3 linked regions of the Schizosaccharomyces pombe genome follow. The protein of the gene in region 2 purifies or fractionates together with the protein of the main gene of each other region. This does not show direct contact. Each region holds a gene or a part of one and is shown on either strand. Other genes may lie near its edges. The genes, in order: rga4, tea4 and tea3.

Region 1 (7,329 bases), 1.3 Mb from region 2:
AGGCATGAATTTTCATGTCAAAAGAACGCAGAGAATTCTTTTTTTATTGTCTTTTATGGTGACTATTGCAGCGTTGAACATGCTAGAATTCGCGTATTAGCATTAATGGATGAAATCAGAGGATTATCGGTAGTAGCTATTGCAACTTCTGTATCTTTTCAGCCAATTCTCGTTGGAAAAGCATTTTCTAGTACTGCCGGAATGAAGGCTACTGAATCAATTAATATTTATACATTACCGTTTTGCAGCGACTCAATCCCTCGGCTTCAAACCTTACCCGCCTTAAACTCAAGTAAAATAATTATTACAGGAGAAGAGGAAAAATTGCAAAGACTCGAAGAGGCGTTTTATTACGCAGAAGAACATCTAAAACTGTTTACTCACGTAACAGAAATTTCATTTGTTAAGCTTTTCGAATTTCTCGCTTACGAAATGGATGAGCTTCGGCTTATTATGGAAGAAAATTCTTCGTTTATTCGCTTTCCTGAGTATTTCAAAGAAGGAGGAGAAACGAGCCCAGAAAATTCAAAAGTCAAAATCTACTCATCTTCTATAGCGAATTCTGAAAAAACAGCACTCCGATTGGCAAAGCTTGCAAGTAAATATGTACAAGGAAAAACTCAGTTTGGAGTTGAAGACAACGAAGACTTTCTGAGAGTTGCTGGTTCTTGGAGAAGAGCGTCTACAATTGAAAAAGGAGTTTCAAGCTCTGAATTGTCCTCTATTGTATCCTCGACTGGCTCCATAGTGGAAACAAATGGAATAGGAGAAAAAATGTCATTCTCTCCTCTTAAGAAGCTAAGTATTCCACCAACAGAATTTGTAGCTCAAATTGCAATAATTTGCATGGCTTCTGGAGTCGAAATGCTCCTAAAAACCAATGGGATTGAATATTTCGGACAAGAAAACACCGTGCCTATAGCAATGGATAAAGCAAGCAAAATATTTTATAAATTTGGACAATCCCAATGGCACCAGATACTGCTTGAAGCCCCAACCAAGGATCAAGATTTCATATCCGGTAAAAAAAATGGAAAACTGGATAAGGTAAAGCAGCAATGCCGTTTCAACTTAAAGAATGGGGACATCTTGTTTTGTCCCCAGTCGACGAGTATATTCACGGTTGATATATATAGTGACGAATTGGAAAGAGTAATTAAAGGAATGAACACAATGTTGCTTGAATTTCCAGCTGAGATGCACTTTTACGTTCCAGAGGAGATTCACAAAAAACTCATTGGATTTCGAGGAGAGCAAATCCAACGTGTAACTAAACTTTATAATAGTTACATTGAATTCTCAACTACTCCTTTTGACTGTTACGGGCACAACGTGCTCATTCGCACACCATCAAAGTTCTCCGAAAATTTGTGGGCCGTCCGATCTTTATTCATTAAGACAGCTGAAGGATTAGGATACGACATCCCGAAGTATTTGTTTGCTAATTGAATTTTAAGTCAGAATCCAGTCATCGACCTGCCCATAGATCACCACACTTTCTCGTTATATTTTTTATGTCCATAACAGACACTCAAGCTGGTTATTAAATTCGGAAACTAAATTTTTTGAAAATCAAAAGTGCTCCACTGTATCAACTTTGATACACATCTTAAGTGCACAATATAATTTAATGAACGTGATCCACGCAGAATTTTGAAGCACATGACAAGTTTAAACTTTAAGCAGTTCAACGATTTGTGCAGGACGGCAACCACTGTTCGTATGCCTTTTTTATTTCTTATTTTGTTAATAAATTGTCATTGAAAACAAAAGATAAAACGTCGATAAACACAGCTAGATTGATATAATAACAACAAACATCTTTTCAGTAAAAAGAAGTAGAAACTGGCACTAACCGTTATTAATCAACTTGCTATACGCTGTGACATCTAACACTCTTTGACCAGTTAATTAGAATCGTATTTGATGAGAAAACGATATTGAGTTAATCCATCCACTTTCTTTGGAATGCATGATGATTAAATTAGTAAATTAAAGAAACAAAAAGGGATTACACAAGAGTTGTTAAACATAAAGACGTCGTTCGACTATAAAAAAAGACGTGTGAACCGTAATGCACCCTTTGCGGTTATTGGGTTTCTTCGGTTTTTTTTATACAAATTATATTACGCTTAACTGAACGAACTAATCAAGTAGCACAGAAACAAGCCACTCTTATTTTTTCTCAAGAGTCGAGCAATACTTCGTTCTCGCTGACAGGATTGCTAATAACACTAACGAAAGATGAACAGGGGGAATGTTGTATAGTTCATTTTTAGTCGTACAATAAATCTCGATAAATTTGTATAAGCAATATCATTTTAAATGTTTCAAAATCTCAAAATAATATGAAGGAAGCAACCATCACTTACACAAAGTATGAAACATAAGGAAACGATATAGAAAGAATCTGGAAAATAAGCAAATATTAATAATAGCTAGATCGAAACCTGGTGGTTTATTCGCTGCAAAGCCATAGCGGTAACAAAAGGAACAAATGCCAGTGTAGCCTTCTATATAAACAAAGGTCCTATTCTTTGACCTCCACCACAAACGGCTACGAGTTTAAAAGAGCTAGCAAATGTTGTAAAGCCTTGGTATTTTTATTTATTTTTTAATCAAGAACAAACTTTGAATAAAACCGTAAAGAGTTTTCTATCTTAGCTGCCGCTCATTTTTTGAGCTGGTGTAATTTACCTATCCATTCTCTTGGGAAACACCTTTCTTTTAATTTTCAGAATATTGATTTCCTTATGAATTCGGGTACGACACTTCATCTGGACAGACTTAGTTTGGAGACGCCATCCGAACGTACTTGTTTTTGTATTAAATGTTGGGAAGTATGTGAGGTTCAAAATTTAATCGCCGTGTCCGGAGAGCGGTCTTTTCACAAAACGAGACCCTGTCTTGAAATTGGACACTGCTCTTTTATTTTTTCCCAGCTGTAATGAACGGCATTTACTAACTTTTGCTCTAGAGTGTTCCCAGTACCTCTCAAGTTTGGTTCGGTGGGAAATGTTGGCATTCCGATTGGTATGATTGAAAATGCAAACGTTGGGATTTTTGGATCTTTTTTTTTTCTTATAGATTGAATAAAAAAATATAAAATGCTCCAAAGATTACCCTTGTTTGTGCTTCTTGTTGTTTTGATTTACTAATTAAGACGGTTTGCTAGTTTTAAATGTGTGAACTGCAACAAAAAATTAGACCCTTCCTCTGAAGATTTTTCTCAAGACGATCAAAAGCAAATATTCTGTAAATTATGTGTTGATATCTGCAACGGTTGCTCAACTCCTATTTGCGAGTTCAACGCAGTAAGCAATAGTCAAGCTAATCATCCTTGTTGCTCCAATTGTCGAGCTTTCATTAATTCAAATGCTTTTGGCAAGTTCAAAGGTCAACATTACTGCCTTCCTTGTTTGCGTAAACAAGATGAAGAGAATCAAAAGGCTGTTATGGAAAGCGCATCAGGGTTTATTCCTCTTAGGAATATCGCACAAACTGCGGAAAACACTTCTTTAACTGGTAAGTTTGTTGCTTATGTAGTATTTATTGATATTGTCTTTATGTTTCTAACTTTAATTTTAGGGCAAAACCAAGGCTTTCAAAACCCGCATTTTATAGCGTCTGATTCTCCATCCTCCGTATTATCTGGTCGAATGCAAAATACCAGCTCTCCTACAAACTCTCTCCGTCCTCAATTAAAAGTTCAAACTAATGGTTATGAAACACCTGGTGATATAAACTCCGCAAAATCTTACAAAGACATCCAAAAGGACTTCTTACTTAAACCCAAAAATTCTTTCGTTAAAACCTCTCCCTCTCCACTAGCTAATGGTCCCTCATTTCGTTCAGCTAATGCCTCTCCATTTGATTCGTGTGACTCTTTTCATTCTGGAAGTTCGATACCAATTGAACCAGTTTCTTCAAGGCAAAGCTCAGTAGTAAATAATAATAGCGTGCAGCAACCTGTTGCTTATCACGCCTTTGTTCAATCACCAACCGAAAATGGTACGCTTCCTCAACTTCCTAAAAATGAAAGCGTTGTTAATCCTCCTCCACTTCGCCGCTCTTCTACTATGAATTACAAATCTGTTTCGACAACAACATCACCATCTAAATATGGATATGTGTCTGGCAGAATAGCTCTATCTCCTATCCATTTAAGGGGTGCTCTTCGTGATGTCACAAATAAATGTAATTTAAAGGTTCCTAGAAATCGAAACAGTTTATCTAATCTTGACGAATATTACGTTAACGGATTGGAAAGCGACGAAACTCCTACAAAGGCTAGATTTCCTAGATATCCTACGGTATTTAATAAGTTAGATGACAAACGACTTAGTAGCGAACCAAACGGCTTGAAGAAAAGATTGACGAACTCTTCAAATTATGAGGCTTCCCCGCGGGCCAAAAGTTTAAATTTGTCGCAAGTTAGTTTGCATCAAGCATGTGAACCTGAATACAATCGAAGTTCTTTGGTTAGAGCAAGTGATGTGTTTACTTCAAACGTATTTGATGCTACAGAGGAAAGCGCAAATGAACTCGCCATTCGTATTTCAGAGCTTCAAGCTGAGGTTGGAACCTTATTGTTGGAAGCGACTTCGTTGGCTTCTATCATAGAGCAGCAGACTCCCGTGTCCCCCGAAGCTTTCAAGCAAGAGTTGGTTGCAGATTTAAATTATAGATTAGATTATTTACGGAAATCTTTTCAACCTGAACTGTCTACCTTACTTTTGAGGCGAGACGCTTTGTCTACGACTGTCTCTAAATTGCAAAACGCTTACAGCACTGTAATGGAAGAAACCGCATATCTGAATGTTAAGAACACAGAACTGGTAAGCCTTAACAATCAATTGGAGAGAGAATTGGCATACTTGAGGGAGCAGCAGCATAAGAAGCGAACTTCTTCCTCTTTCGGAATATTTAATAATGATAAAAAATCCAACCGAACGATTTCAACCCCGTCTCCGCGAGAATCGTTTTCGCGTCTACAAATGGTTGCATCTAGCCTTGGATTTAGACCCAAAGACAATAAAGACAAGGAGAGTGGAGGGTATAACAAACGGAACTCTAAAATAGATCTTAAGAAGTCATTTTCTAAACGGTTTCATTGGAAAAGAGATTCTCCTCACATGTCGAGTACTCCCAGTATTTCTGAAGAACATTTAGCTTCTGAAGAACAAGAGGATTTCGTTCCAGCGGTCGGTCACTGCAAACTTTGCGGTAAATACTCCAATGAGCTTAGAGCACATTATCAGGATTGCGTTAGTTCTACTATAGATCGTCAGTATCAATCTAAAAAAAGCGAATCTCCTGTTTGGGCTTTGAATCCTGACGACTTCGATCAAAACAGGCTAACACTCTTGAGAGTCCCGACGCTTATCGTTTCTTGTATAAATTTTATCGAGTCATACGGCATGGATTTTGAAGGTCTGTATCGCAAATCAGGGGCAACTTCTCAAATGAAAAAAATTGTTGCGTTACTAAGAAATGAAGATACGGTACTTGATCCAAGTGAGGATATTTCTGCTGTCACTTCTGTATTCAAGCAATATCTTCGCAACCTTCCTAATCCAATTATTACCTATGACCAATACTTTCCGTTCATCACAGCAGCAAATTGTGCCTCTTTCCAAGATAAATTAGACGGTTTTATAATGGTCATCAAAAGTCTTCCTCCAGCTCATGCTGAAATTTTGCAGCTCATTATTAGACATTTAGCAAGGGTTGCTGCATATAGTCATGCAAATCGAATGACATCCAAGAACCTTGCAGTAGTATTTTCCCCAACATTAATACGCGACCCCGATAATTCCAGAGACGTTATTGACATGACTGTTAAGAATTACAGTCTTGCGTTTTTGATAGATCATGTACATGAAGTCTTTGCCTAAATTCACACTATCCTTTAATAATTCGCTCTTTTGTTTTGCACGTTCCTTTATATTCTTTATTCGTCTTTTTTTGTTGTTTTAGTAGTTGTACCATAACTTTGGGCAGTTATATCGAGATTCCTTTTTGCATTTGCTAAGATAGTTTCATTTTTGGTCATTTTTAGATGTCATCGTGAAATCAGTGGCAGATGAGTGTTTTATGGATTTGGCGTATAGCTTCTTCATAATGCATTATCACTGCAGACTGACATCCATCGCTTTTATTTAATCATTTCCCTGTTTTAGTCTACTTGGCATTACTCACAATGCTAGGCTATGAATAAAATGCAATTGCATGTATAAAAAAGGAGAAATTTGTATTTTTTTTTAATTTTATTATGCTTTCAAGGATTTAAAGAAGCATTTTTTCCCAAGATCCCTAACTTAGGAAATGCTAGTGCAACGTATTGTGAGTAAGTGATTTTGTAGATATATCATGCCCATTATCTTAATGGAATTCTAAAAAACCAAAAGCAATTCCTATAAACAAAAATTATATACGTTATATGGTAAATTTTTTGAAGGGGGTTAAATAGAGTTTCGAACGTCTAACAAAAAACCAACTCCTGTTTTACTACCACTTTTTTTTGAGAAAAGAGGGTCTTTAAGCAGGATATTTTATTATCTATGTGAACAAAATTACGGAATTTTACTAATGGCAGATGTTATTAAACGATGCATTTTGGGCCCGACTGAAGCCGGCTGGTTCGTCGCAAAGTCTCAAATAAAAAAACCAGTTGACCAAAGACCGGTTATCCTAACCCATTGTAAGCTGCACAGCAAAATGCTAGAGCCAAAGGCGATTGTTTATAAAAAAAATTCATCTGCAATTCCTAAACGAGTTGACAACATTCTTCTTCGAAGTCAAAAGCCCAAACATATAGAATGCCTACTTGTGGACTCTAAAATCACCAAAACAAGGAGCCTTTTGAAAAGATTTGGAAGCTGTCTTGATGAAACTAGTACCATTGTACTTTTAAATCAAAGTGTTTCCTTGTGGGAGGATTGCTACAGTTTATTTCCAAAGACTGAAACCAGACCGCGAATATACCTTGGCAGGTTCCAAACTCTATTCAAATCTTTTCCATTTAATTTAATTAGTGATTCTTTCAGTTATCGTCTCAACCTTAGCAAACTTCCTCGTACACCTTTGGAGAAGTGTACGGTAGCTAGAGCCTGTAAACAGTTTCCGTTAAACCAAAGGTCCCCTTTACTTGACTTGATGGGTTCCTTTGAAAGGGACTATGTAAATTTTTCAAATTTTTCACAGATGCTTTCTGCACAGTTATGTGACTCTATGGCTTTTTTAATTCAAATTTTTCCTACTCCATTACTCAGGCAAAAAGCTGCGAATGCGTGGATCGAAGTACTTTCTAAATTACCATATTTCCAT
Region 2 (6,822 bases):
TTTTCCTATAGAGTGAAAATAAAAGATATTGTTCATTTAAATAAAGACTAAAATATAATTTTTAAATAAACACCCGGTTGTTTTGGACCATAGTTGATTTTGATAACTCGGCATGACCTGTGCTAGCAAATTGGCACATTCCCTCTGCACGGCTCAAATCAGACTCGCTTAGTTGATTTATTTTCATTCTTTCTAAGTGACTAACTCTGTATCAAAAGAACTACTGCTAACATCAGAAGTATCAACAGACTGTGATTTTGCGATATCGATGCCTGACTTCGCTAGACAGCACCTTATCTTGGAGTACTAGTAGCTGGCAATGAGTACTGATAATATATATTAAGCCCGACTGCTAAACCACCTTTTAAAATTTAATTTAAACCGCATCTGTAATATTTTTGGGATTAAGAATGGTAAAGAATACTAGCGTAATCATTGTTGGTGCAGGTGTGTTTGGATTATCTGCAGCTTTAGAGTTGACTAAACGTGGTGGATATACGATCAAAATCTTGGATCGAGCACCTCCGCCTGTTATCGATGGGTCTTCAGTCGATGCAAATCGTATAATTCGTTCAGACTATGCGGATGCAGTGTATTGTTCAATGGGTATTGATGCTTTAGAGGAATGGCGCACAAATCCACTTTTTAAAGAGCAATTTTATGGATCAGGACTTATGTTTGTTGGCCGTGACAATGTTGAGTATCGGGACATGAGTCTGGAAAACCTGACAAAAATGGGTGTGTCAGCAGCAAAGTTTCAAACTACAGAAGAATTGCGGAAACTTTTTCCAAAATGGATTGGCGAGCTGAATGATGGAGAAGCTGGGTATGCCAATTTTAGTTCTGGATGGGCCAACGCTGAGCAGTCTGTGAAATCCGTAGTTAATTACTTAGCACATGCCGGTGTTTCTTTCATTAGCGGACCTGAGGGAACTGTTGAAGAGCTTATAACAGAAGAAAACGTTGTTAAAGGCGTGAGGACTACTACTGGAGCTTACATGGCCGAAAAACTTATTTTTGCTACAGGTGCATGGACTGCATCTCTTTTACCTAATGACCACACACGATTCTTGGCAACCGGTCAACCAGTCGCATACATAAAATTGACTCCTGAGGAGTACATCCGCTTTTTGACAAATCCTGTATACTTAGATTTTGATACTGGATTTTATATTTTTCCCCCTACCCCCGATGGTTATCTAAAATTTGCACGCCATGGATACGGATTTACGAGAATGCAAAATCTTAAATCCGGAAAAGTCGAATCTGTTCCACCAAAGAAACCTCTCGTTTCTCCTATCCTGCCCAAGGAAGCGGAATTAGATTTACGCAGAAACCTTCAACGTACTTATGGCGAAGAAATTAGTCAAAGGCCATTTTACAAAACCCGTATTTGTTATTATACCGACACAGCCGATGCCGAGTTTGTATTTGATTATCATCCAGATTATGAAAATCTGTTTGTATGCACAGGTGGTTCAGGCCATGGATTCAAATTCTTTCCAATCCTCGGGAAGTATAGCATAGGGTGTATGTTTCGTGAGTTAGAGGAGCCCTTATTGAAGAAGTGGAGATGGAAGAAAGAAAATTTGGAGTTTGCTGCTTTAGACCACAGCCGAGCTGGACCCTCTCGACAAGAGCTAAGCTAAGATGTGCAATGCTAAACAAAAGAAAGGCTAGCGTCTATCTTTCTAGGCTACCTTATTTTTGTGTTGAATACTAATTGATTCTTCTTCATTCGAAATATTACGAGCATTGAATGTATACACATTAACAATTAACATCAACTTTATAACATCCAGACGATTATGTCGGTTTACTGTTTTCGAATAAAAACAGGGACATTTTCTATACCCTTTACATCGAACTTTATGTCCTGAATTAATATTACAAAGCATGCTAAGTAAAACCTTTTTTTCAATTATTTTAGATATGCATCATATAGCTAACTCGTTGGCTTTAAGAGAACTAAAGCGTCACAGCTTACTGAGGTTGTTTTTGATACTTAGATGCAATTCAAACATTTATAAATAATTAAATTTGACAATCTAATTAGAAATAACATAAAAAAAAAAATCAAAATAGAATAAAATGATCAAGAAGCTTTTTGTTTAAATGCAAATACCGTACTCGCTTTTATTCGTTGTATCGGTTAAACGACGTTTTACTGTTACGTTATCTGCCAATCTCGGATTTACGTAGCATCAAGTACGCATATCTTACCGCAATATTTAGAGGCGACTTAGTTTGTTAATATATTATATTTTTACACTAGTTATTGGAATGTTAACATTTTGAAGAGCAAGATCGTTTTATTTTCAAAAAGATTTTGCTGGATTCGTTGTTACGATTGACGTTCTAATCAACCCAACTTGAGTGTATGTTCATCAGGATCGGTATTTCCGTTTTCACTAGCGTTTTAGCCAGTATCCTGAATTTTTACCAGTTATAAATTGTATGAGGTTGAGAGTTTCTTATCCCTTTGCAACGTGTTTGTTTTTATCATTAGGAGTAGCGGTTTTTGAGACCTGAAAAGTGTGTTTGCTGTTTTTGCACATTTGTTCAAGTTCATGAGAGCTAACTACATTGTTTCAATATGTTACACATGAATAGTGCCAGTAGTGCTGACAGCATGGAAATTATGGAAAGTCATTTTGACCCGACACAACAGAATGATAGCACTATAATAGAAAGTCGTTACTCTCCGGAAGAATATCTGGAGCAGTCATTCGAGATACAAAGGATTATATCAGGAGAAAATAGTGAACCCCAAACTGTAGCGTCGCAAGAAATTAGCGATTCTCAAGAAGAAGACACTACATTAACATCGTCTCAATTTGAGGATTGTGGGACTGAATATAATGAAGTAGTGGAAGATGATGAGTTTCGCTCTGAAGATGAGGATGATTTTATGGACGAAGAGGAAGAATACGCTTTATATGAGGCAGAATTGAGTTCTTCCCCATCTATTCACGAAGAGGTTATTGATTGCAACTTTGTTCATGCCATTCGAGGCTTCGAAGCTACTGTTGAAGGACAAGTTGATGCTACTAAAGGAGACATGATGATTTTATTAGATGATTCTAATAGTTATTGGTGGCTTGTAAAAATGTGCAAAAATTTGGCTATAGGCTATTTACCTGCTGAATACATTGAAACTCCTTCAGAGCGTTTGGCTCGATTAAATAAATATAAAAATTCGGAAACGTCCAATTCTCAGCAGTCTGTGACTCTCCCGCCTTTAGATATTGTGGAAAAAACCTTGGAGGCTCCATCCCCAAATTTTCGTATAAAACGCGTTACCTTTACTTGTTCTTCTAATTCTTCCGATGATGAAATGGATTCTGAAAATGATTATGAGGCAATGGTAAACCGAACTGTCGCAGAGAATGGTCTTGAAATAGAATTTTCGGACAGTAGTGATTCTTCTCTCTCTGCTGAGTACCGTTCCGAATCCGAGGATCATGTAACTGATAGTCCTGCTTACGTGGATCTTACTGAACTGGAAGGTGGGTTTAACCAGTTTAACTCTACTTCTTTTCAAAGTACATCCCCCCTTGGTCTTGAGATTGTTGAAACAGAAATTAATGGCTCTTCCACTACTGCAGATTCGAAAAATTCACATTCCCCCTACTCTAAATTCTCATCAGCTTACCCAGATGCTGAAAATTCGAATATTAGTAAAATAAATATCTCAATAGCAGGAAACAAGGAATTATATGGCAATGCCACCCAGTCTGATCCTTCACTTTACAGTACTTGGATAGCAAATAAGCATAAAACTGCTTCATCTGCAACCGTTGATTCTCCATTGCGAAGATCACTATCAGTTGACGCAATGCAATCGAATGCTTCATTTTCTTCTTATTCGTCTACATCTAATACTGATAAATCATTGCGGCCTTCTTCTTATTCCGCCGTATCGGAATCCTCTAACTTTACTCATGATGTATCTCGTGATAACAAGGAAATCTCATTGAATGCACCAAAATCAATTATAGTTTCTCAGAGTGACTCTTTTGACACATCTAATGTTACTCAGGATGCCCCAAACGATGTAGAAAAGGAACCAATTTCTGGTCAAATGCCCAATAATTTATCAGTTCAATCCTTAAAACAATTAGAAGTGTACCCTATTCGACATTCGGTATCGATTGAAATGCCATCTGAAAAGCTTCTTTCCCCTCGATTATACTCTTCATCTACTCCATCCTCTCCAACAAAAGGATTCCAAAAGGATGACGAAGAAGACAGCGAAAACCGAAAGCAAGCAGATAAGGTTGAATTATCACCAAGTTCGCTTCTTCGTCAGATGTCTTTACCTGTTGATTCTTCCTCGCAAAGTGATGCACAGTGCACAACGTCTTCTGTATACATAACAGCGGAGCGTAAAGCATTTTCTCAATCTTCAATAGATTTATCAACATTGAGTAACCATCATGTAAATAACGAAATAAACAGAAGAAGTTTTGCGGGTGGATTTACAAGTTTAGCAGATGAATTAAGCGAAATGCGTGAGCTACTACACGAATCCCCGGCTCCATTGGAGTGTAATGAGGAAATGGTTATACCTACACCTGAGTTAGATGCTTCAAGTGCAATCCCGAGCTCTTCGATTTCACACGATGAGGATTTGCTACCAAGAAAGAACACAGAGGAATCTACCTCTTCTAGTTCCTTTTCCTCTCTTATCACTTCTCCTGCTTCTTTGCAATATGATGAAAATCCATTCAAGCAATCTGTGGTTGCGGAATTAAATAATAACTCCTCTTCGGTGCCATTCGTTGATTCGGCTCATGCTTCTGATATCCATGCGTACGATAACGACCACGTTAGTACTAAAAACAAAGAATTTAATCGTCGGTTGAGAGAGTTTATATTGGATCCAGACTCTCTTAGCGGGCTATATTGGAGTGTAAAATCAGCGGGAGTAAGGGCATCCCGCCGAGTTTCTCGTAATATCGAGGGTGAATCGGTGTCCTCGGACTTGGATGATATTTTTGCTAACGTATTGAAGGGTTTATCAGATGAGATGGCCTCCCTCTTAAATACGAATCGCTGAAATCTTTGATTAATTTAAAAGTTATACCATGTTTTTCCCCTTTATCAAACTATTTACACTCGTTATAAATCAGTTTTCTGTTTGATTAAACTGTTTCAAAAATTTGTTTGTTAATGTCTTTATGTTTGACTTTTTTTTCTTGTTAATAATATTTTTTAATAACTAACAGCATACCATAGTTGTATAAAGGTCTAAAATTCAATGTGCGGGTATGATTCGGATTATTGAGCGCTATAAAATAAATGTGTTTAAGTAAAATCTACCGAAGTATTAAATGAGCTAGTAATTATCTTATATGCCATTTCAAATTATAGTATCGCTGCATCATATTTTTTGTACAGTAATGCGAGCAGTGAAAATGTAAACTACTCAAGCAGATAGTAGTAGGCTTTGAGGGTATGATAGATTTTATGCATCCGTAAAAATAAGCCAGTGTACTTTACTTATGTGGCATGATGAATCAAATTCAATAGGGTATTAAAAAACAAAATTAGCACGATTTATAGCGATTCTTATTAAAAAATATTTCTCTTCTCTTTTAAACGAAAAAAATGAGATATTAACAAACGATGAACATGTTCATTAATCATTAATATGAGAATATCATCTGCTTCTACTTTTAAGGTATCGGATTCATCATCAAACCAACGGTGTATTTAAATGTATATTTTGTAAGCGATAGGCATATTGATTGTCTCATAATAAATAATTTATGTTTTTTCACTGGTAATTTTCACGCTAAATTAGATGATAATTAGCATCTTGACTACCAATTTCTCACCATCATCATAATTGAAGGGCGAAATTTTCAAATTTGACTTTTAATATTCTTTTAGTAATTGCACGAAGATATGTAAAGGAACATGGAAAAGTAAGAATGAACAATAAAATTTTTATTCCTTTACAAATTTACGACTTGTTATTAATTGGAAAGACAAAGCAATGTTATTTCTGTAACGAATTGAGTTTGTAGGAAGAAACAAAGTTCCTAAAAAGTATGCAAATATCTTCAATATGCGCTAAATAAAGAAAACAGTTCGTACAGTAAACAAAGTCAATAATTCGAAGCGACTAAATAACGAAAAATTTAGAATGAGACGGATATGAAATGCATTTTGAATTGACCCGTTTTCATTTGTACAACCACCATACATGATTATTCTCAACATTGTTTTTTATGAATGCGAAATAAGAAGTATTAGTTTAAAACATCAAGTAATTTTTTAACACGCCACCACGAGTGGACAATGTGAAGTTTACAACTTGTGCTAATTTTTTTGACTACTCAAAAAATTAAATATGCAGCACAAAACGAGAACTGAATTATATGCAAACCCTTATACACTGAGCCTTAAAATTCATGATTTTTTACTTGCAACAGAAAGTAATAAGTAGCTTAAAAAATTAGAGGAAATCTGTTAATCGTTACAGTGGATTCTCACATTAGACAATAACTACATTATTACGATAACAAATCATCGTTCTAAATCACAATATTTTATTATGCTGTTCATTATTTTGTAAACATTAATTTTGTTTGTATTAAAGTAAACCACTAAACCAAAGGAAAAAAATGATAATTAAGTTTGATTCATTAAGAATCAAGATGAAGAAGAAATGAATGCAATAAACGACAATGAAATTGTGAATTTAACAAGGCGAAACAACGAGTTTTTCGATTTCATTAGTTGATGATAACAGTCAATTAGTGAACTGCTATTTTAAAACGAATAAATAAAACCATTATTATAATATTCAAT
Region 3 (7,124 bases), on a different chromosome or scaffold from region 2:
TTTGTATTGTCATTATCGCGGGGTTGACTCCTTCATTGACCATTTTGTGTTGAATTCAGCGTTTGCACCGTTACTATGAGCCAAGTGAAAGTCGCGGTGAGAAGTGAGGAAGCAGCTAATTCTTATACGCAAACGTTTGGCATGTCCTGGAGGCAATGGCGTCAAGCATGCTCTGAAGAATATGCGAAACAATGTGAGCGTGAAGTCCTGCACACTGTCGATTTTATTCGGGAAAATGAAAAGGACCCAGAAAGGTTAGTTGAAGTTGTAGATTCCAAAATCTACGATAATGATGGATTGGTACATGAGGTTTGTGTTAGTGATAAAGCAACAGGAAAAGCGAACAAGCGAAGCATTGTTTACATGCATGGGTATGGAGCTGGTCTTGGTTTTTACTTTCGGAACATGGATGGTTTGACTAAGGGTGTGACAAAGGATTTTAATTCTTATTTTGTTGATTGGCTAGGCATGGGAAACTCGTCAAGACCGCCTTTCGATATCAAGGGGCAAACCGCTTCAGAGAAGGTCGAAGAAACAGAGAGGTTTTTCACTGAGTCATTAGAAACATGGAGAATCGGTCATGGTATCGAGAAAATGATCCTTGTGGGCCATAGTATGGGAGGTTATTTGTCTGCTGTCTACGCCATGCAATATCCGGAACGTGTTGAGAAACTCTTACTAGTTAGTCCAGTTGCCATTCCTGAAAACCCTTTTGCAAGCAACGATGATGCGGAAGTTTACAATTCCGTTGCTTCCTCTGCTGTGCATGCTGTTATGGATGAACCTCCTTTAAGTAATGTTACTAATGAGGTTCTGCAAACCCAAGAGGAAACTACAGGTTTAGAGCCTTCCCGGCCAAGCAAGCCAAAGAATCCTCTTCCAAGATTTATCACCTTCTTATGGGAGCAAAATGTTACACCATTTTCTCTACTTCGTTTAAGCGGGCCTTTAGGTCCTAAACTAATGAGTTTTTGGTCTAGCAGAAGGTTTTCAACGCTTCCCCCGGAAACGTTTAGGGCATTACATAATTACTGCTACTCAATATTTCGTCTCAAGGGTTCCAGCGAGTATGCACTTGGCAATTTGCTCGCTCCCGGAGCTTTCGCTAGACGATGTATTATGAATCGCTTGCGCATGTTGAAGTGTCGAACTATATTCATGTATGGAGATAAAGATTGGATGGATGATGTTGCTGGTTTAGAAGCGACAAACAGATTGAAGGAGATGAATATTGAGGCGGAGCACCACATAATTTCAAATGCTGGTCACCATTGCTATCTTGATAACCCTGAAGATTTTAATGAGATTGTACTAAAGGAGATACGAATGAGTTTACGTTCTTTTTCTTCGATTTCAGAGTAAATTTTTATTTTTTATGCCCTTCGCTTAGTGCTTCATTATTTTTATTTATTCTTTCTTGTCCTGCAAACTATCCCATGTGATGCTGTTATAGACCTCATTCATTAATTTATACTACACATTATTCTTTGGATTCCAATTGAACGACTTTTTTTTACCTAACTTTTTATCGGTCCATTTTGAATCGATTTTTATTGCATTGACGCTCATTTGCTTCATTTATCGCAATTTTATTTTTTTGTCCGATTACTTGTCCAGCATGTGTTTTCAAATGTTTTATTTTTAAAATGTGCCTTATAAATCAAATTTTGTAATATTTGTAGGCCATTTACTACAATTAGCTTATAAAGTAAATAACAGTTTTTGTGGTTGTCTATTTTAAATTCTATCCTATAGAGTAATTGGAAAAATACATTTTTCTTGCTCTAAGCTTTTCAAACGTGAAGCATATTTCGTACTTCTAAATTTCAATTCAAACAGAGCATTCAACGGTAATGTATACTATTGCGCTTAAACTTGTATCTACTCTCCCTTCTTTATGTTTAATGAAGATATAAATTATAAACATCATACAGTATTACAAAAATTTATTGTAGGGTATTGCAATTGTATTCGTTGTTCTAAGACTTCTCTACTCTAAGTTGCCGTTTCCTGATGGACTGTGTGTTTCCATTACCCTCCACAAGTTATGCTCTTTTCATATTATTTCGAAAATTTTACTTTTTAATTCTTTTTTAAAACTAAAATATATATTTTTTCTATTTTATTTCTTTTTTAAGCGTAAAAACCGAACCTTTTAAAAAACTCCTTGGATTAAACTTTCGCTTTGATTACCATCTGCAACTGCAAAACCAGTAAGCGATTTTGCAAGGTAAAGATCGCAATACATGGTTCAAAAGGTTTTAAGCCGTCAATCGGATAACTCTCAGGATGTGTCTGCTGAACAGCTTGATGTAGTGGAATCCGGTAGCATTGATCAGCAAAATATACGTGCATGGGTTGTTCGCAAAGTCAAAGAAAATGATAAAAGGACATCTACGAACCAAAGTTTTAAATGGGAAGCTGTAAAACCGGCTTCTTGTCTAGATGCTGCGAATGAAAAATTCATGTACTTACATGGAGGACGAGAAAAATCTGGTATTTCAAACTCTTTGTTTAAGTTGGACCTGGATTCATGCACGGTTTATTCTCACAATAGAGGGGAAGACAATGATTCTCCTGCTCGAGTTGGTCATTCTATCGTTTGTTCTGCTGACACTATTTATCTTTTCGGAGGATGCGACTCAGAAACAGATTCCACATTTGAAGTTGGCGATAATTCATTGTACGCATACAATTTCAAGAGTAATCAATGGAATTTGGTTTCAACACAGTCCCCCTTACCATCGCCTCGCACTGGACATTCTATGTTGTTAGTTGACTCTAAATTATGGATATTTGGGGGTGAATGTCAAGGAAAATATTTGAATGATATACATTTGTTTGATACCAAAGGGGTTGATCGGAGGACGCAATCAGAACTCAAGCAAAAGGCAAATGCAAATAATGTTGAAAAGGCTAATATGGAATTTGATGAGACTGATTGGTCATGGGAAACACCGTTTTTGCATAGCTCATCCCCTCCACCTCGTTCAAATCACTCAGTTACTCTTGTCCAAGGAAAAATATTTGTACATGGAGGGCATAATGATACTGGTCCATTAAGTGATCTTTGGCTTTTTGATTTAGAAACACTTTCATGGACCGAGGTTCGTTCTATAGGAAGATTTCCAGGTCCGCGGGAAGGTCATCAAGCTACTACAATAGATGACACGGTTTACATTTATGGTGGTCGTGATAATAAAGGGTTGATACTCAACGAGCTTTGGGCTTTTAATTATAGTCAACAGCGGTGGTCCTTAGTCTCAAATCCGATCCCTATTTTGCTTTCTGATTCATCTTCATACAAAATTGTTTCAAAAAACAATCATATTTTACTATTATATCTTAATGCACTTGACGCTCCTAAGCAACTGTTATGTTATGAAGCAGATCCCAAAAATTTGTATTGGGATAAGGATAAATTTTCTGATATTCCTGTTCTTCAGCATATTAGCATGAAACCTTCAAATGCTTCAAACCACACGGTTTCTCTTGGTTACCTAAACGACCGTCCTAATCATTCCAAAAAGAATTCTGTGACATCCACCTCGTCTAGTCAATTTAACAATTTTTTGGAGCAAAATCAAAAAGCCGTAAGATCAGCTAGGCATCGGCACTATGCTAGCTTGGATGAACAAGGATTACATTCTTTGAGAAACCTTAGTAAAACCTCTGGAATGAATCATTCAGCAGATTTCTCTCTTCACGAGTTTGGGCAAGCTGACCCCTTTGCTTACGAAATTGAGAAACCTATTGCGTCTCTTCCTTTACCTAATGGAAACGATACTATTTCTAGGTCTTCCGAATCTTCATCTCCAATCAACGAAAGTGAAAGTAATTCTCTGCTTAAACTCCAATCAGATTTTAAGTTTTCTAATTCTGATGATCGTGTAGCTTGGCTTGAGGAGCAACTGTTATATTGTATGCAACAAGGCTATACTCTCAAACCTCCTAACCTGTTTCAACACGTTGATGAAAAATTGAGGCTTGAGAAAAAAGAGCAGCTCAGTTATTTGGAAATACTGAAGGTGATTGAGCAAATGCTTGAATCTAATGAACAAAAGTTTAAAAAGCAAATCGTTAGCCTAGCATCTGAAAACGCAAAATTGGCTGCTCAGAGAGATGCTGCCGTGGAAAATGCAAATTATTCACGTTCACTGATCCAGAAAAAGACAACGGACGAAACTGTTGGATCTTTAATAGAAAAAGTTGGAAAGTTAGAGTACGAAGTTCAAGGGACTCTTGAAGAGGCAACCTCTTATTATCAAAAAAATACTGAACTTCAACAGTTATTGAAGCAAAATGAATCCGCTTCTGAACTCTTAAAATCTCGAAATGAGAAACTTTGTGTAGATTATGATAAACTTCGTAGTGTGTTTGAAGAAGATTCATCAAAAATACTATCTTTACAAAAAGAAAATGAAAACCTACAATCACAGATATTGCAAATTTCAGAAGAGTTAGTCGATTATCGTTCTCGTTGCGAGGCTTTGGAGTATGGAAATTATGAGCTGGAAACGAAGCTAATTGAGATGCATGATCGAGTGGAGATGCAGACAAATGTGATTGAAGCATCCGCTAGTGCTCTTGATGTGTCCAATACTGCCATATTGTCTTTTGAAGATTCGCTCCGTAGAGAAAGGGATGAGAAAAGTACGTTGCAACAGAAGTGCTTAAATTTACAGTACGAATATGAGAATGTTCGGATTGAGTTGGAAAATTTGCAATCTCGTGCGCTAGAGTTGGAGTCAGCCTTAGAACAATCAGTGTCTGATGCTAAATACTCGAAAGCTATAATGCAAAGCGGATTATCAAAGTTATTATCTTCTATTAACGAAAATAAAGATAATCTTAAAGAGTTTTCGAAGTCGAAACAAAAGATCTCCTACTTGGAGTCTCAGCTAGAAGGGCTTCACGAGTTGTTACGTGAGTCCCAGAGACTTTGTGAGGGTCGCACTAAAGAGCTACTAAATTCTCAGCAAAAGCTCTATGATCTAAAGCATTCATATTCCTCTGTAATGACAGAGAAAAGTAAACTTTCTGATCAGGTCAATGATCTTACCGAGCAAGCAAAAATTACTCAGCGTAAGCTCTCTGAGGTACAAATTGCATTGGCTGATTCAAAAATGAATCAACAGTTATCAGGAAAGGACTCTACTGACGTTCATCTTCCTACGGACTTTTCAGCTTCCTCCTCTCCCTTAAGATCATACTTTAACGAAGAGGATTCATTCAATAATGCTAGTGCTGCACATAGTTCAAAAGAATCTGACATACCTTCTGGTGGTGTGTTTACAAAATATCGTAATCATTTTGGTAATTTGATGACATCTGAAGAAACAAAAGCCCCGGATAACAATGATTTACATAAAAGACTTTCTGATGTTATCAACAGTCAGCAAAAATTTTTGTCTTTGTCCCCTCAGGTATCTAAAGATTATTATGATGTTCGCTCAAAACTAAATGATACCGCGGGCTCATTTTCAGGTGAAGAAATGCGTGCAATTGATGATAATTACTATGCCAGTCGTATTAAGCAACTGGAGGATGATTATCAAAAAGCCATAACATATGCCAATTGCTCAGATGAGTCATTTCAGCAGCTTAGTCATTCATTTATGTAACTCTATTCATCAACTAAGGATTTTTTATCTCTTTTTTGGTTTGTACAATTTTCTTAATAATTTTTTGAAGTGGTTTGATTTTTTCTACTTAATCTCAAGTCGTTTGACTACGTATGTAAATTACCACTATATTTAACAATAAAATACGCAATTATTTCTACTGCATTTACATTGACTCATTTATATTTTAAAAAGTAATGAAATTTAATTAACTTTTAAAAAGTAAGAGAAAATTTAAAGTATTAGATTGATGAGGATACTCTCAAGTGCAAATTACTAAACTGGTATTAAATGCTAATTCCTTAACCACGCGAACAAAGCATATGATGAATTACGTAGAAATAATTAAAACAAACAAAGACCTGCAAAAAACCATTAAAGATTCATCCATTTTTTTCAAGGGTCAAATTTGAAGTTTGCTCTGCAGTATGCGAAGACTGCTCAGAGACATTAGTAGGGCCTAGCAGTTCCGTCCAACTCAAAAACGTAGGAGCCGTCCATTGTTTATCAACTTCCAAATTGAGAACTGGATCCGGTAGAAAAGTTTCAGGTGTGAGCAAACTGGGTTGGTTACTAACATAACTTTTGTTTAGACCCGGAACATTATAGAGAGATGATGTTTGGTCAAAAGGTTGGAATGCTTCGTTTGGAGTACTATTACTACCATTTGAGCTTTCTCCTGTAAGCTTAAAGGTAGAAAGCATGTCTCCATGTGACATATCTCCCACCCAGGATTGCCAATTTTGAAAACTATTTTGGAAATCTGCAATCGGATTATTAATGTCTGGGGCATTGCGCCTAGATAACTGTTTGTTAAATGACTTAAGGTAGTTTAGACTTTCTCTAGCAAATTCACACCTTGAACTCAGAAATTCCAATACCTGCCATAATTTTGTGACTACAGCTTGAATATCCTGAGAGTTTTCGTAATGAAGAGACAAGAGTAAAATAGGTGCGCTTGCAAATGGAACATGCAGCCCGAAAAACGATAAGCTGGACAAACACTTATGTGTTAATAAAAGATGTGCTATGTTTATGACCCTTGTTGCGCTTTCAACACATAGCTGGATGTAGCGACGATTTTCAGCAGTTAAATCTTTATCTTTTAATTTCTTTACCATAATAACTCTCGTAGTAAGCATAATCGCATTATCATATATCATTTGAACATGTGCATTTGACCGGAAGAGTGGATGCTGAACAGCCGATTCATCAAAAACCACAGAAGAATGTAAATCACTTTTCCAAAGCTCTAGACGAGCATAAATCCTACGGACAGAATTAACTTGCGATTCAAAGCTTGGAGAAGGGTTCCAGTACAGCGAATCGCAAATCTCATTTGTTAACTTAGCCAAGTTAATAACGGCACGCATGTTTTCGACGATAGACTGAGAACCCGGTATTTCTAAATCGGGCAATATAACAGGGTAAGGTATAGAAATGCATTCCAAAGGTATGCTAGGGCGTCTTCCAGTAGTCATGCTTACAAAACGGTCAATA

The links.
Region 1: the proteins of tea4 (region 2) and rga4 purify together in Schizosaccharomyces pombe (affinity purification with western blotting, with the first as the bait; one study listed by BioGRID). This does not show direct contact.
Region 3: the proteins of tea4 (region 2) and tea3 purify together in Schizosaccharomyces pombe (affinity purification with western blotting, with the first as the bait; one study listed by BioGRID). This does not show direct contact.

The regions. Positions count from the first base shown.
Region 1 is NC_003423.3:1,836,870-1,844,198, forward strand, and holds rga4 (Rho-type GTPase-activating protein Rga4), read left to right. Parts: upstream 1-2,546; 5' UTR 2,547-2,753; coding exon 2,754-2,840; exon of another isoform or gene 2,841-2,977; coding exon 2,978-3,033; exon of another isoform or gene 3,034-3,175; coding exon 3,176-3,525; exon of another isoform or gene 3,526-3,588; coding exon 3,589-5,897; 3' UTR 5,898-6,318; downstream 6,319-7,329. Other genes in the region: SPOM_SPBC28E12.02 (BICC1 family RNA-binding protein), read left to right, coding at 1-1,449; protein Cbp7, read left to right, coding at 6,592-7,329. UniProt on the Schizosaccharomyces pombe protein: GTPase-activating protein for Rho-type proteins.
Region 2 is NC_003423.3:586,133-592,954, forward strand, and holds tea4 (tip elongation aberrant protein Tea4), read left to right. Parts: upstream 1-2,226; 5' UTR 2,227-2,596; coding exon 2,597-5,062; 3' UTR 5,063-5,302; downstream 5,303-6,822. Other genes in the region: fap1 (L-pipecolate oxidase), read left to right, coding at 411-1,649. UniProt on the Schizosaccharomyces pombe protein: Cell polarity factor essential for the bipolar localization and function of structures containing the cell-end marker tea1 during the normal cell cycle.
Region 3 is NC_003424.3:3,213,190-3,220,313, reverse strand, and holds tea3 (cell end marker Tea3), read left to right. Parts: upstream 1-2,040; 5' UTR 2,041-2,246; coding exon 2,247-5,624; 3' UTR 5,625-5,801; downstream 5,802-7,124. Other genes in the region: cardiolipin-specific phospholipase Cld1, read left to right, coding at 76-1,362; DNA-binding transcription factor Thi1, read right to left, coding at 6,008-7,124. UniProt on the Schizosaccharomyces pombe protein: Acts as a cell end marker required for efficient new end take-off (NETO), whereby growth is activated at the cell end to generate bipolarity in extending cells. Also required for proper placement of the septum.